Linked DNA regions of Bombyx mori. The protein of the gene in region 1 interacts with the protein of each later gene in a biochemical or structural test. Links are inferred from orthologs where the notes say so. Each region holds a gene or a part of one and is shown in the gene's direction. Other genes may lie near its edges.

Region 1 (3,974 bases):
ATGATTTGTTGATGAATTTTCGGATTATCGATATTCCCCTTCGAATCCTTACTACTTCAAATTGTTATTTTCACTGATCATACAAACCGGTTTTAAAATGAACACCTCTCAAGGGTGTTTCCTGAGCTCTATGAAATCTTCTTGTTCAATCAAGGTTTGAAAGGAGTATAGCATTGCCAGTGTCCATGAGCATCGATCAGTACTTACCGTCATATGGGCCATTGGCTATTGTATCTATTACGAAAAAAAACCACAAATACTTAAGATTAAAAGTGTTTGAAAAAACTCTAGCATTTTTTATGTGTTAATTCGAAAGTATTCTTGCCTAGCTTATTTATTCTGATGAACTGCTGCTACAATCAACGCCCTATAGGTGAACAAAATGTAATCGTTCAAAGCTCTGCCATCATTTCGTTCAGCAATTCACCATCTTCTGCTCCCCACTCCGAACGAGGAGCACTGCTGCTTGAGATACAGGTTTCATCACCTAATTCAAGCACAGATGCAAATTAAGACTGTCTTTCTACTTCTATGCTAACAATAAATAAATAAGTAATAAAAAAATGAGTATCGCCGGCAACCAGCTGTTCTTCTAGCTCTAACTTTTCTATTATTCTCATTTACAACTCCTACAAGCTGATTGAATTTTCACCGCACTCGCACATATCAGCTGTACGTTTTCACCAAGCCTTTTGGTGGGCTAATCGATATATTAGAGATAAAAACTTGTTTAAGCCTTTGCATAAGTTTTACTATTACTTCTTAAGTGAAAATAAATTTATGTGTCCTAAAGTACATATTAATTTATGATAGATATTTTTCAAAACATAAAACAATCGTCAAAGCTTAAAAACTGTTTGAATACGTATAGCAACATTCCGCCATATTGCTCAGAGTGATTTCTTTCAGGCAACGACTTCCTAAAATAGTGATCGAGAATAATCCTAAAATACAAGCCTGAAGGGAATACATGGAATTTTTAATTTATTATATTATTCATTAAATTAACTCAACTCATCTCGTCTCGTCTCGTCTCATCTCATTTCATTCATTTCATTTCATTTCACACCATGTTTCATATTAATCAACTTTATTTCATTTCATAATATCTTTTTTCATATAAAAAGTTTTCATTATAATTAAAATAAGACTTGACCTAAAAGTCTTAGTTACCAGGTCATAAAATTCTTTATTCTGCTTTCAAGAGTCAAGTTGAATTTCATTCATTCGTGAAAGAGCTACCTAGTTGCACGACGTGTCCTACAATTTGTGATAATTTTAATAATTTTTGTGAATTCCAAAAAGGTAGGAAATATTTCAATTTTTCAAAAATATCACAACTCTACTGCATGAAATAATTATTGTCAACAAGAAAAGTTTGAAAATCAAGTTTGTCATTTGTACACACAAAAAAATCTGAAACAATGACGATGTAATTTATGATCGTCGCCATTTTGTGATGACTAAAAGTCTTTGTTCTTTTGTTTTGTTCGTCAATCCATTTAATACTCCGAAATAGGGAATTCATCCGTCAATCTTCATTAAAGTTCCTTCTTTGTTCTAGAAACCACCATGCAGATTTTTGTAAAAACTCTCACTGGTAAAACCATAACATTAGAAGTCGAAGCATCCGACACCATAGAAAATGTAAAAGCAAAAATTCAAGACAAAGAGGGCATTCCTCCAGATCAGCAGCGACTGATTTTCGCTGGGAAACAACTTGAAGACGGACGGACATTATCCGATTACAATATTCAAAAAGAATCTACTCTCCATTTGGTATTACGTCTGAGAGGTGGAATGCAGATCTTTGTGAAAACACTTACCGGTAAAACCATCACACTAGAAGTTGAAGCATCTGACACCATTGAGAATGTGAAAGCCAAGATTCAGGACAAAGAGGGAATTCCCCCAGATCAGCAGCGATTGATCTTTGCGGGCAAACAGCTTGAAGATGGCCGTACATTATCTGACTACAACATCCAGAAAGAATCTACTCTGCATTTGGTGTTACGTCTCAGAGGTGGCATGCAGATCTTTGTGAAAACACTTACCGGTAAAACCATCACACTAGAAGTTGAAGCATCTGACACCATTGAGAATGTGAAAGCAAAGATTCAGGACAAAGAGGGAATTCCTCCGGATCAGCAGCGGTTGATCTTTGCGGGCAAACAGCTTGAAGATGGCCGTACACTATCCGACTACAACATCCAGAAAGAATCTACTCTGCACTTGGTTTTGAGACTGCGTGGTGGCATGCAGATCTTTGTGAAAACACTTACCGGTAAAACCATCACACTAGAAGTTGAAGCATCTGACACCATCGAAAATGTGAAAGCCAAGATTCAGGACAAAGAGGGAATTCCCCCAGATCAGCAGCGATTGATCTTTGCGGGCAAACAGCTTGAAGATGGTCGTACACTATCTGACTACAACATCCAGAAAGAATCTACTCTGCATTTGGTATTACGTCTCAGAGGTGGCATGCAGATCTTTGTGAAAACACTTACCGGTAAAACCATCACATTGGAAGTTGAAGCATCTGACACCATCGAAAATGTGAAAGCCAAGATTCAGGACAAAGAGGGAATTCCCCCAGATCAGCAGCGATTGATTTTTGCTGGCAAACAGCTTGAAGATGGTCGTACATTATCTGACTACAACATCCAGAAAGAATCTACTCTGCATTTGGTGTTACGTCTCAGAGGTGGCATGCAAATCTTTGTGAAAACACTTACCGGTAAAACCATCACACTAGAAGTTGAAGCATCTGACACCATTGAAAATGTGAAAGCAAAGATTCAGGACAAAGAGGGAATTCCCCCAGATCAGCAGCGATTGATTTTTGCGGGCAAACAGCTTGAAGATGGCCGTACATTATCTGACTACAACATCCAGAAAGAATCTACTCTGCATTTGGTGTTACGTCTCAGAGGTGGAATGCAGATTTTTGTGAAAACACTTACCGGTAAAACCATCACATTGGAAGTTGAAGCATCTGACACCATCGAAAATGTGAAAGCCAAGATTCAGGACAAAGAGGGAATTCCCCCAGATCAGCAGCGATTGATTTTTGCTGGCAAACAGCTTGAAGATGGTCGTACATTATCTGACTACAACATCCAGAAAGAATCTACTCTGCATTTGGTTTTGAGACTGCGTGGTGGCATGCAAATCTTTGTGAAAACACTTACCGGTAAAACCATCACACTAGAAGTTGAAGCATCTGACACCATAGAAAATGTGAAAGCCAAGATTCAGGACAAAGAGGGAATTCCCCCAGATCAGCAGCGATTGATTTTTGCGGGCAAACAGCTTGAAGATGGTCGTACATTATCTGACTACAACATCCAGAAAGAATCTACTCTGCATTTGGTGCTACGTCTCAGAGGTGGAATGCAGATTTTTGTGAAAACACTTACCGGTAAAACCATCACATTGGAAGTTGAAGCATCTGACACCATCGAAAATGTGAAAGCCAAGATTCAGGACAAAGAGGGAATTCCCCCAGATCAGCAGCGATTGATTTTTGCGGGCAAACAGCTTGAAGATGGTCGTACATTATCTGACTACAACATCCAGAAAGAATCTACTCTGCATTTGGTTTTGAGACTGCGTGGTGGCATGCAGATCTTTGTGAAAACACTTACCGGTAAAACCATCACACTAGAAGTTGAAGCATCTGACACCATTGAGAATGTGAAAGCCAAGATTCAGGATAAAGAGGGAATTCCCCCAGATCAGCAGCGATTGATCTTTGCGGGCAAACAGCTTGAAGATGGTCGTACACTATCTGACTACAACATCCAGAAAGAATCTACTCTGCATTTGGTATTACGTCTCAGAGGTGGCATGCAAATCTTTGTGAAAACACTTACCGGTAAAACCATCACGCTAGAAGTTGAAGCATCTGACACCATTGAGAATGTGAAAGCCAAGATTCAGGATAAAGAGGGAATTCCCCCAGATCAGCA
Region 2 (6,519 bases), on another chromosome or scaffold:
CTTCACAGGAACATTGTCAGTATATGGAGTACCAATCCGGTCAAAAGTAAAGTTTCCATCATATCCAGCAATACTACCAGCTAGATATAACAACTGTTTGCCAAGTGGTGGATGAGCATCAAAAAAAAAGACACCCTTAGTATATAATGAAACATATCTTCCATAATGTAATTCATCAAATCTGAAACATGAAACTCGTAAGTATTTTAATACCTAAATTCATTACAATAAAGCTGAATTTGAAACAAATTAAACAAGCATAGTATTATTATGAAATAAAAATTATGATTTAGGGGCATGATGCAAGATAGTTAAAATGTCAAGCTTTTATCTTCTCATACTAGCTATTAGGTAAAAGAGTTAAAACAGATGGCAGGTAAAAATTCAATCAATTTAAAACACAACACAAAAAGTATTACTCGTGAACTTTGATAATTACGTATATATTTTTCTTACACAATATGGCGAGGTTCATCTAGTTTATATAAACGAGTGCATAATGCCAATATTAGAAGTCCTATTGCGATTACATCAATCTTGAGCTGTAAATATATGCGTGAAGGAGAATGATTCATTTTGTTCGTCAGCATTAATTCTGGTTTTTCAGTTTCATTTTCAGCTGGGGCACCATCGCCCTTTAAAAGGAAGGATTAAGGATTCTTAACCAATTATGGTAGATTAGAAAGTGTTGATGAGATATTAAAAAAGGTGAAATGGAGAGAACATTTCACCTTCTTTAATTCCATCTAAGATGTAAATCTTTTATAAAACTTACTTAACTTACTGTAACTTCTCACTAAAGAACTATAAGCACTATTTTACTTTGGCTATTTATAAGCTTATAGTTTTAAGCATTATAACTTATATGTTAATAATTGGTAATAGTTAATAATTCAATTAATAACATTCCCAGTAAATTATTATATTACAATAACAAATCTTACCAGTAACTTACTAATAATTTATAAAAACGATTTCGATGGGTCATCATAATCTTATCACCTGTATTTGATTATGATTTATGAAAAGACAAAGTACCTGCCATTTTTTTTAAAAATATTGTATGAGAATTATTGTAATTCAATCAATGAAATTCTGAAACATTCATACATAAATGCTAAGAAAACTTCTGAGTAAATAATCCCGAAAACTTTATTTGTTATTAGTTGTACAATGACACAGTAATTTCATCCACATAAGTGAAGACATAAGTTTTCAATATATCGAGGGGTGAAAGGCATTTTGGTTTAAGCGACATTTCGCTAATATGTGATTAATCTTTGAAGGTAAATAAACGTCCATTTTATTTAGTTTTAGTATCGATAGATGTTTTTAATTGAACTTCAATTAAGTTTAGCCCATTCAAATAGCTGAAGAAGTTTTTTTTGTTATGATTCTGTTATAAAATTTTCAAACTTCAACTCCTGTAAAGTTGAAAAAATGTCGCTTAAACCAAATAGCCCTCGATATGATTCGAAACATCGGAAATTAAATATAAATTACTAACGCGAGTCATTAATCACAACTGGGAAAAAAAATTTATTACAATCTATATCTAATCAACGATTCGCATTTACTATTTAATTAAGTTTTGTAAATGAGCCAAGGATTAAATTAATAAATATACGAAGTTTGGTGAAGTTTCTAAGTCATAAATTACGAATTATTGTGCTTATGGTTTGTAAATATTAATTACGAAATTAAAACAAATTTACTTGCCACTTCTCGATGGGAATTACATGTTTTCTCCGAATAACTGTACTCCTGAGGTTCTGTGACCTCCTTACGAATCTTGTTTATTTTACGATTTTTAACACACCGTCCTGTGTCCATTATTTCTGTATTGAATTATAATTAACATTAGAATATTTAAGTACATAGAATGCGGTTCGTCAAATATTATTCAACATAAAATTCGATTGATGAAAGTTAAATTTTTCATTTCAGTGCAAGTGTTTTTAGTAGGTAAGTAAATAAGTATCTACTACCTACACTTAATTTGCCTAAGGGAACTTAGACCATACAGGCATACACATACATCATACCATCTTTCAAAAAAAACCCTTTCAGCTGAGAACGAGCATGAAAGCATGAAACGTCATTAATTGGAATAGATTTTGTAACTAACTTGAATAAATTCTCACCATTTTACTGAAAGATTAAATAAAATTATTTAATCTCAACACATTTAATTTCATAATATTTTCTTTTACATTTTGGTCTTTTCATATTCCTAATATTTGATTTTTTCATTACCTTATTAACTCCATTTTATTAGAACTAACGCCCTGTCTACGGTATTTTTTAAAACATAAAAGGGTGGATGAGCTGTGACGTCGAAAGTGATACCGGAGAGCCCATAGACATTTGAAACATAAATGCCATCACCCACATTATGACATGAGTTCTACCAGTGCGGGCTCACCTCGCCCTGATTTATCGAAATGAAAACTTTTGCAGAATTTTTATGATACAATGTTATTCCTTCATCATAGAAATCATTCATGAACCGTAATAAGTATCAAGTATGTGTTTCGGTAGAATAATTGGTACCTTCCTTGAACGCTTGTCCAGTCGCATCGCTTGATACGAATGCACCGGGTGACACTTAGCCATGACGACGTCAAAACAAAGTAGGATCAGACTGTGCGACCTATGTTCCTTTTGATGATTTGCCTTTCTGTTGCAATATAGCTTATAATACATAAACATGGTGGGGACTTTTTGGCGAGAACGTGAGGAGTGAATTGTGATTTGTTTTATTTTGTCTATTTTAGTGTTTATTCGGGTTTAAATGTGTAATAACGGTGGTTTCTTGACTATTTAGTATTTGTGAAAGTGCACACATGTGGAAAAATGAAACAAAGCTGCTGAATGTAACTTCTTGGGATGCTCCAAAAAGTCCACTGAAAAAGTCTCAGTAAATGACCACCATTTTACTGAGATTATATTTCATCTCATCTCATATAATCTTATCTCATTTGTTTAAGTTCATGCCAATTGATTAAGTTTCCTTCGTTTTTTATTATTCATAAACTTTAAATAAATAAAACGGCGAATTATAAAAATCCATGGAGTTAATAAGTACCATAAAAATCTTATTACTTGACGCTGGCTAATGCACAAACCGTGCCGGATCCAAAAACTAAAGAAGAAACTATTGGGTGGGACTACTTGAACTTTTTTGGCGGGAATGCGAGAAGCGAAGCTGTGTGAATTTTGTCAATTTAGTTTCTTAGGGTTTTGACGTGTTTTATCGGTGAATTATTAACTGTTCAATATCTCTGAAAGTGCACTAATCACTGATGAGGGAGGGAAAGTGAAATAAATGCGCTGGACATTGGGTCTCAGGTTCTTCCAAAAAGTGCACTGAAAAAGTCTTATAGTAATATAACCACCATTTTACCTTCTTTATTTATCCCATCTCCTTTTTTTGTATCATCCCAAATTTTCATATGAAAACAAAATAAGAAAATATAAGACTTGGCTTGAAGGTCTCTTCACCAGGTAATAAAATCTTTAAAAAATTTAATTGATATTTTATTTGAAGTAAGTATACCTCTACATAAGTTCAGTAAATTTAATTATATCATGCGAGTTACTTGTTACAGGTTCATAAAATTGAAAAGATAAAAATATGAGTGATTGTACAAAGACTGTGAATTGTCCTATATGTAATAGAAGTTTTGAAAATACCGAAATTGAGGAACATGTAAACAAATGTCTTTTTCTCAATTCTTGTGAAAAATCTAATTCGAAAAGACAAGGGCAACAACTATTATCTCCAAATGAAAAAAGAAAGAAAGTTGAAAAGTTAACAGCTTTGCCTCCAAACTTGAAGGTGATGTGGATAAAAAAACAATATTTTTTTGATTATCTTAACAGTAAGAGTATAGATAAAATTGTGTAGATCCAGTTACAAGTACAAGGAGCTAGCACTTATTATTAAATATACCAATATAATATTGCATAAAAAATTAAAACATACTGACAAATATGCATATAGCATGCTGATGTTGAACCTATGACTTCTGAATGGAGGAATGCTAGCATGCAGCAATTCAATTGCTTCACTATATCTCTATTAGTTATTAAATTAAAACATAATTTAAAATTAATTCAAATCTTTCAACAGAGTTCACAATCACAAAAAATAAGCACAAATGAAAACATAAAAATACCTCTATCAGAGTCTTTAAGGCCAAAATCTCTGGACCAGATTGTTGGACAAAAGCAATCATTTGGCACAGATTCAATGCTCCGATCGATGCTTGAACAAAACAAGATTCCTAACATGATTTTGTGGGGTCCACCAGGCTGCGGAAAGGTTATGCTACATCAAAAATTTTAACAAAAAATACTGTAGAGAATTGGGATTCACGACTTCTTTCTACAATTTCTCAATATGTGACATAAGCTCTACATCTATCTCATTTATATTGAAAGCTTAGGACTGACTATCTACTGACATTATTATGAATATGTTAGGCTCTAGTTTGGCAAAAGGAATAGGAATCAGTTGGAGGGATTAGTTATAATATTACCTGTTCAATAATCCCAATGTAGCATATTTTCATATCTTATGTCCTTAGTAATACACTTGAAGAGATGAAAGTGAATAGATTCAGACCTTAAATATTATATATCTTAAAGAAAAAATTTGAATCCTAAGATCAGCAGTCAATATTACTAACCACTGGACTACAGAGATAACCTAGTTATAAAATAAGGTCTGTTAGTCTATCACTGATATAAGGTTTACTATTATACTCTAATAGCTATATAAATAACATTTTTTTGTTTTCTACACATTCCCAAACCATTCTTCCATTTGTGTTTAAATTTACTACAGTTCTTATTGGCACTAAAGGAAGGTTTCGCTCATGTAGCATCATTGTGTGATGAAAGTGATAAATTTCAAAAATACTGATATTTTTTTATACCCATAGTGATTATAAGAATGTGACCAGTTAGACTAGTTATAAGTGAAGGCACTGGCATAGCTTAGTCATTTTAATAAAACAATGAATTATTCAATTATTCGTCTTCTTGATTATTTCAGACGTCATTAGCAAATGTTATCTCTAATATTTGTAAAAAACAAAATAATTTAAAATTTGTAAAACTATCAGCTACTACATCTGGCATCAATGATGTAAAGGAAATTGTTAAAATAGCAAAAAATGATGCACAATTTAAAAACCAGACTATTTTATTCATGGATGAAATCCACAGGTAAATGGTATTAAATTGAATTGGTCAAAGAAGGTGTATTTGTATATTTGTGATGCTGGCATCTTTAGTTAGGTATCTCATATGATTATTATATGATAAATTGCAGATGAGTCATTTCTACAATTGTTGCAGATTTAGGCATTTATAGAAAAGAAATTAACTAGTACTGTGTGTAAATTGCAGTGTTTAATTAGCTTTAGCATGTAAACTTCCTAATCATAATACTTGTGTATTATTATGTTTGTAATAAGTACAAAAGAGTTCACCAGTGAAATTGTGCTTGTTTGGCCTGGGCAGCAATGTTCTTTTTTATTGCCCTGGTAAGCAGGTATAATCCGGCCAACCTGATGGCAAGTGACACTTTAGGTCATTAATGTTAGCAATTCCAGAGGCACAGCAAAGTCTCTGCCTATGCTAAGTATGCACACCAGCATACTACGATTGTACCAGTAAATAGGGTAATGTCAGTCCCCATAGGTGGGTCACCATCATCTTACCTAAATCTGCAGCAGAACAGTCCTGCATTCCGTATAGAAAGGTGGGATAACCATTATGTTAAACAATTGGTTGCAGAGGAGGATGTTTTATACGTATTGTGGTAAGGGCTACAATAATCACTTAATACCAGTTCGCTCATGAGCTACTGAGTAATGAAAAAAAAACGATTCTAGATATGACGCAAATGTCGCTATCTCCCTTGGAGTCTTTTAGTTCACGCAACACAATCTACAAATTTAAATTAATTAATAAATTAATTTAATAAAAAAATACCTACATTGAAATCACCATTTGTGGTGTGAACACAACTTTAGGATTCTGTATTAACGTATATACCATCTTTAAATCTAGAACGCATCGCAGTTGTGGAGCCAAAATGGTATGAATGGTACCTAATTATGTAGAAAAAAATTGAATACATCACGTTAATCTTACATTGTCCATGTAATTTGTATTTTTAAGACCTTTGCAGGTAGATGAGTATACGGTTCGACTGGTAAGGGCTTACCGTCGCTAATGGTCAAGCAATGCCAAGGGCATAGCTAAGTCAATGCATACGAACTGTTTCGGAGGCGGGAAGTGCGATGGCAACAGCCATATAGGACTTGAATTCCATCATAATCTTATAATTTGTTAATAATATTTCGCGCATCTTACTGATTGGGCCGTAAATAGATTTACTTTACTGGGTGTTAGGAGACCGCTTCCGAAAACGAAGACAGACAGTGCTAATAACACCTTTGATGAAGGGACGGAAATTGGATCTTGATTCAAGAAAATAGTAAA
Region 3 (6,649 bases), on another chromosome or scaffold:
CCTCCCTGGCCCCCGCTCGACGGCGGCGGGCTTGCGTGTCTCTCACGCGCCCCGCCGCCTCCTTCTGCGAGATGGTGCACTCGCAGAAGTCGAGCATCGCCTTCCACGACTCGTCGTCGCCGAGCATCGATGCCACAACACTCGGCAACGACAAGTCGTTTCCTATTTTTGCGACGAGGACACGGCGCCACCCCTCCCATGCGGGGCAGGCGACGAGCGTGTGCTCCGCCGTGTCCAAGCCGCAACCACAATGGTGGCACTCTGCCGTCGGCTCGGCTCCGATCCGGTGCAGGAACTCACCGAAGCAACCATGCCCAGTGAGCACCTGCGTGAGCCGGAAAGTGAGGCGTCCTCTGTCACGATTCACCCAATTCACAAGAACCGGGCGAATCGCCTCGACGGTCCTACGACCAGCCGAAGGATCGGCCAGCCGTCTGGACCATGCCTCCAGCACGGACCGCCGAGATTGGGCCCTCCGCGCTCTGACCACACTGGGGCTGGGACGTGCCACGCCCCGGATACGAAGGTCAGCCCGCCACTGATAGTCAGCAGCGAGCGCCTCCGCCTCCAGGACCCAAGGCGGCGGCGCAGTACAGTGCCATCTGCGCATTTCTAGCATGCTAAATGTTATCGTCGTTTCGTATGTTGCCGTCTCGCTCGCACTTGCGTTTATGCTGGAAAGGGATTAAAGCTTTATGTCGGCGATAAAACGTTAGCATGCTAGCTATGCTGTTTTGGATATGAAAATAAGAGTACGTGTTTTTCTTAGACTACTTACCTCCCTATTATTTATTTATTTATTTATTTATTACACTTCATGTAAAATTTACATTGGCGGACTTAATGCCTAAGGCATTCTCTACCAGTCAACCAAAGGTAGTGCAGAGTAAATAGTGGTAGGTGCAATGAAATTTATATTAGGTAACGAATACATACAAAAAAAGTATATCTACATATATACAAAATCACATATACATACATACATACATATATACACACATACATACATATAATAGTTTATACAGTATTAAAAGGAATAAATTTCCTTAACAAATAACTTCATCAAGTTCATGACGATTCCGCTAACTTTTCCAACAGCATTCGCCGAACCCTTAACTTGAACGTGCAGCGGTTACAATCTATTTTACTATTACAATCTATTTTAATTGTATTGCTGACTCTAAAGTCCGTAACACACTACCGCAGCGAACCTCAAGGTAGGTGCGCCGCAACATTTGAATCACTCTCGAGAGTGATTCAAATTTTAAACTTATCAAGGGACCGCGTGATAAAAAGCACCTACAGAACATTTATTTAATTACAAACGTCATTCCTTGTGACTTCCCCTCTAAATACACTTAATTATTAAAAAATTAATGAATTTACAATAGTGTTTTACTCGCTACGGAATAAAACTATTTTATTTAAATAGTTCCGAAGAGAAATTTTGTCGGTAGCCTTTTGCCCGAAATATCTAAACAGAGTGTCTAAATATGTTTTGATGACACATTTTATTAAGAGGTATTTATGATTAGTGTCATTATCAATAGATTCCGACCTCAAAATGGTGTCCGATTTTTGGGATGAGTGCTCCATAATGAATTTAAATATATGTAGATAATAGTTTTGGGGCATCGACTTTCTTGAGATCCTATAAAATATGTTTTAATTATTATTTTTGTATGTTTTAAGCGGGGTAGCATGATAAAATAAGAAATTTTATATAAGCAATCATATTATATCGATATCAAAGTCAATAAATAATGTACAACTCAAAACAGACGGCTGAACTGACGTGACAATGACATTTGGTGCGCTAAACATGGCGGATTTTCGGCCTCATTAGACCATATTAGACATTTACGTATATTCATGTTTCATTTTATGTACGCACTGAAATACTGTTATATTGTTTTCCTGCGAGTTACAGTACTGAGTAAGAACGAGATAGATATATGTTTATGTGTGTGCCTTCAAAATAGGTGCTATTTATATAAACAATTGTACGTATAGAACAATATGTCGTGTCCCGATATTGGTCTATGTAGCAACTCTACTTTACCAATATTAAGTGTATAACCTATTTTTATATACCTAAAGGTGCTTGAGAGGATTTTTTGGCGGGAACGCGAGGAGTGAAGTTGTGTGATTTGTTTTATTTTGTCTATTTAGTGTTTCTTCGGGTTTAAATGTATAAGAATGGTGGTTTATTAACTGTTTAATATCTGTGAAAGTGCACAAATGTGGGAAAATGAAACAAAGCCGCTGGACGTAACTTCTCGAGATCCTCCAAAAAGTCCACTGAAAAAATCTTAGTAAATGACCACCATTTTACTGAGATTATATTTCATCCCATTTCATTTCATTTAATTTTACCCCAGTTGATTAATGTCTCAAATTAGTCGTCTTCATTTCATTTCACTCCATAATATCATTTTTCATAAAAATGAATATAAATTAAAATAAGACATGACTTAAAGGTCTCAGTTACCAGGTCATAAAATCCCTTAAAAAAAAAGTAAAGGTGCTAGTCATCGGCGTCATTTTACATTTCGTACTTGCCTACTTCAATATATTTGTCGTCACTCTATTCAAACTATTTCAAACAGTTTACTGTAAAGGGTTAAAGTACTTTAAGGGTTCACAGTGACACTGCATATCATAGTGTAAGTTAACAATAATTTCTCCACAACACTGCTGTATTTTAATTGAGTGCATAACCTACATCCATTATATACTAGTAAATTTTATATCAGTACTTAGTACATACTTGTTATCATTTATTAACTTATAAAATTTCGATTTTGGGCATTTAAGTTCATCTTATGTTTTTTAATCTCTATTAATTTTAAAATGTAAGTTATTAAGATCTGGATTTAAATTCCTTTGATAAGTGATTAATTATTTAATTGCATTTTTATCAAATGTATTTATTTTCGTTCCTGCCGTCTCCGCCATTTGTGGTTTGATCAGATTTGTTTTTTTTTTTTAGAAAATGTCTACTGCACTGTTTGGCAATACGTCTGGTCTTGGGGGAAGTTCAGGAGGAAACAAACACATAGTAGAATTTCGTGCTGGTCGTATGACGTTGAAAGGTCGTATGGTACATCCAGACAAAAGGAAGGGGCTCTTGTATGTTTACCAAGGAGAAGATTCTCTCATGCACTTTTGTTGGAAAGACCGAACTACGGGGGAGGTTGAGGATGACTTGCTTATATTTCCTGATGATTGTGAATTTACGCGTGTGAATGAATGCACCACAGGCCGAGTTTATGTACTCAAGTTCAAGTTGTTTTCGAAGAAGTGCTTCTTCTGGATGCAGGTCTGAAAGTACACATATTATAACCTTAAAACTGTTTGTCATGAGATGACCGTAAATTTCTTAGTGAAAAATATAAATAAATTTGGTAAAAATTGTTGCTAATTTATTGTGTAAAGTATTAAAAAACAGTAATCATGATGCAACATTTAAATTTGTTTACTAATTAATCATTGTAATCTACAATTATGGCAATGGTTTCTAAAAAAAAATATTGCCAGTTTGATTTCAGCTGTACTTTAGAATGGTAGATTTTTGGATTGCCAAGTCAAAATTGTATAGATTGAGAGACTAGATTTTTATATTGATTTCTCTTGATTAAAAGTCTGACATCTTGACTATTCAGTAGTATTGTAGCAATTTTACTATCATATAAAATATTCTCACTTAAAGAAGAATTGTTATTTTATAGAAAAAATATTTAATGATATGTATTTCTATTTTATTGAGATTTATAGCTTATTTTGTTTTCTAATCACACTTTTAGACTTTTTATTTTTACAAGAACCAAGAAATTTCTAGTTTTTTAACAAACATATTTTATATTTATATAAACGTTTTTTTATTACTTAAACGAGGTTATTGCTTAGAGTGCACCACCCACTTGGTGCGCAGTAGTTACCAGAACATCTGTAGATGTTATATGCCTACACCCACCATGAGATATATTTTTACAGTAAAACAGTTGCCTCACCTTTCCAGACTGCTTAACTGCTTCATGGTAAAAATAGGCAAGATTGTGGCACCTACCAATGTAGACTGACAAGACGACCTATCAGGACCTCCAAATTACTTCCTACATGACAGTCTATTAGTAAAACTTATTGAACTATGAAACTCTATGATAAAGAAATTAATGAAAGCCCTTTCAGGAGCCAAAGGCTGACAAGGATGAAGAATACTGTCGGCGCATTAATGAAGCATTAAACAATCCTCCTACATCTGGTGGGCGTGGAGGAAGCAGTAGTGGTGGGCAAGATCGTGAAATACGTAATTTACTCAACAATATGTCTCAACAACAGCTAATGCAATTATTTGGAGGTGTTGGTCCAGTGGGAGGAATTACTTCTCTCTTAGGAACAATGGGGTAAATATTATGCTAATAATATTATAATAGTATAAGTAGCACAATAAGTATATCAATTTTAGCTCATTCTCGCCACTAATGTAAATATAAAAAAAATATTGCATATTTAACCTTACATTTGGTTGTGATGATCAATTTCAACCAGTTTTAAGAGTATGATCTCTAAAAGCATTTTCAACTGCTTCTTGAAAATTCAAAATGTATTAGAATTCATTTTTGTTCCTCAAATACATTCTATATTGATTTGCAAATGCATCATGAATCAGTTAAGTGTTTTTTGCACAAACTTTGTTTTCTCTTAAGTCTGCCTTAGTTAAGTTTTATGACAATAAGTATGTCATCAAAATTTTAGATCAGCAGGTTAAGTATTGATGGAACCAATAACCTTAACCAATAAATCATCTTAAAAAAAACAAACAATGCATTTGTAATAAAACAGGCATACATCATAAATTTTTTATCAAAATGTAATCATGAAAATACATAAAAGTCAAACAATTACAAAAAAAGATCTTTCTTTGACACCATTATCTTTTTCCTACTTTATAAATAAATGATAATAGTGAATAGTAAACATAAATAATTTGGAATATGGAGTAATTTAATATAATATATGTGCAGTCTTGTTTTCTGGAGTGCTAGATATTAAATATCTCTTGCTTCGCTGTATGGAGAAGATGATTTTCGGTAGGCAGCGGCTTGGCTTTGCTTCTGACATTGCTGAAGTCCGTGGGCGACGGTAACCACTCACTATCAGGTGGGCCGTATGCTTGTCTGCCTACAAGGGCAATAAAAAAAAAACCTGTATGTCATGAATGTTCAGTTTGGCTTATTAAAATTTGTTTGCTCACATATTTTTGTGTATTATAATAATTTACAATTAATTTTATCAGCAGAAGATAAACAGCTTATAATTGCCTAATTTTGATTAAAAAATCTATTATGAGTTTATAGAAGTATTGAATTGATTGCATTCAATTTAAAAAAAACCTTTTACACCCCTGGTAAAGTAACCGGCAAACTTCTTGAGCAAATGACCTTGACTGCGCAGAACCGAATTTTATATCACTTTGGTGGTGAGGGTGAGGCGCGACGGCAGGGGAAATTGTATCGAGCGCGTTATTGGTAGATCAGTCGAACCTTGCGCCCCGCAACGCGCCCTCGTTCCGCTTGCTCCCAAAAGTACGCTTGCGTACAGTGAAAAGTCTATCGTTATTAATCGTTAAGTTATTTGTTATAATTGCTTGTTGACTTTGTTGCCATTGCTGTTTGTTGATTTTTTATAAAAAATACACTATGCCGCGACAAACTGGTGTAGTATTCAAAAGAAAGGGTAGAAAAAATATGTACGACGTATGTTGCTTCATTATAAAACAGAGGAAGAATGATATGGAAAAGTAAAACAGACTTCGGAAGCAACAAAAACATCCGTGAGTACTGTTAGGTGCATTATTAACGAAGCTAAAGGCTCTGGCTTGCTCGCCGTGTTTCGGACTCCGGGTAAGAAAAGATCAGGGAAGAATAAAGTTACCGGAATGGATAGTTTCGTTCAATCTAATAAAAAGATGTAATCATAATAACTACATAACAAGCAGCGAAACTCCTTACCGTAGAAAGGCTTCGAAAAATTTAAAGAAGATATAAATTTTAATGGAAACGAATTATGAAAGAGCTAGGCTTCAGATGGAAAAAAAAACCAGAAAATAATCGGAAGCTGGTAATTGAAAAAAGTTACATTCGATTACTACGAATCGAATATCTTCAAAAAATAATTAATTATAGACAAAAAAGTAGACCGAACCGACCGAAACTACACCGATGAGCCCTATGTCGACTCATCACGATGATAGCGACTCGGGTAATGAAAACAGTGATTGATGATGATGGTCAAGATTATGATAACGAAAAAAAAATTACAAATACCAGCTTCGCTTCAACTGAACCAAGTCCTGGCAACAGCTCTAGTTATGACTTAATAGAAGGAATATTTATTTTACCGCAAGATTAAATTATTACAATTATTAACCTATATTTTTTGTTGATGTTCTAATAAGTATATAAATAAATATATATGTTGATTTTAATAATTTAATTGCATTATGACGCAGAGTAAATAATGTTTTTGTACGTGAGTGTACCATGCGCGAACTTACCCCCACTACGTCAACAAATGCTCAAGAAGTTTGCCGGCTATTATAATATCGAAATTAATATTAATTTAAGTCATCAGTTAATAATGCAAC

The links. The genes of interacting proteins can lie anywhere in the genome.
Region 2: the proteins of polyubiquitin-A (region 1) and ATPase WRNIP1 form a complex in vitro, tested with the Homo sapiens proteins (6 studies listed by BioGRID). The link is inferred for Bombyx mori from reciprocal best matches to the Homo sapiens genes UBC and WRNIP1.
Region 3: the proteins of polyubiquitin-A (region 1) and proteasomal ubiquitin receptor ADRM1 form a complex in vitro, tested with the Homo sapiens proteins (10 studies listed by BioGRID and IntAct, with this or other methods). The link is inferred for Bombyx mori from reciprocal best matches to the Homo sapiens genes UBC and ADRM1.

The regions. Positions count from the first base shown.
Region 1 is NC_085127.1:9,713,253-9,717,226, reverse strand, and holds the start of polyubiquitin-A, read left to right. Parts: upstream 1-1,174; 5' UTR 1,175-1,305; intron 1,306-1,564; 5' UTR 1,565-1,572; coding exon 1,573-3,974.
Region 2 is NC_085110.1:12,983,872-12,990,390, forward strand, and holds the start of ATPase WRNIP1, read left to right. Parts: upstream 1-2,376; 5' UTR 2,377-2,525; exon of another isoform or gene 2,526-3,507; intron 3,508-3,611; 5' UTR 3,612-3,637; coding exon 3,638-3,841; intron 3,842-4,135; coding exon 4,136-4,327; intron 4,328-5,062; coding exon 5,063-5,235; intron 5,236-6,519. Other genes in the region: protein O-mannosyltransferase 1, read right to left, coding at 1-181, 457-635, 1,720-1,833. UniProt on the Homo sapiens protein: Functions as a modulator of initiation or reinitiation events during DNA polymerase delta-mediated DNA synthesis. In the presence of ATP, stimulation of DNA polymerase delta-mediated DNA synthesis is decreased.
Region 3 is NC_085111.1:12,300,178-12,306,826, reverse strand, and holds the start of proteasomal ubiquitin receptor ADRM1, read left to right. Parts: upstream 1-2,506; 5' UTR 2,507-2,666; intron 2,667-2,992; 5' UTR 2,993-2,995; coding exon 2,996-3,322; intron 3,323-4,191; coding exon 4,192-4,406; intron 4,407-6,649. UniProt on the Homo sapiens protein: Component of the 26S proteasome, a multiprotein complex involved in the ATP-dependent degradation of ubiquitinated proteins.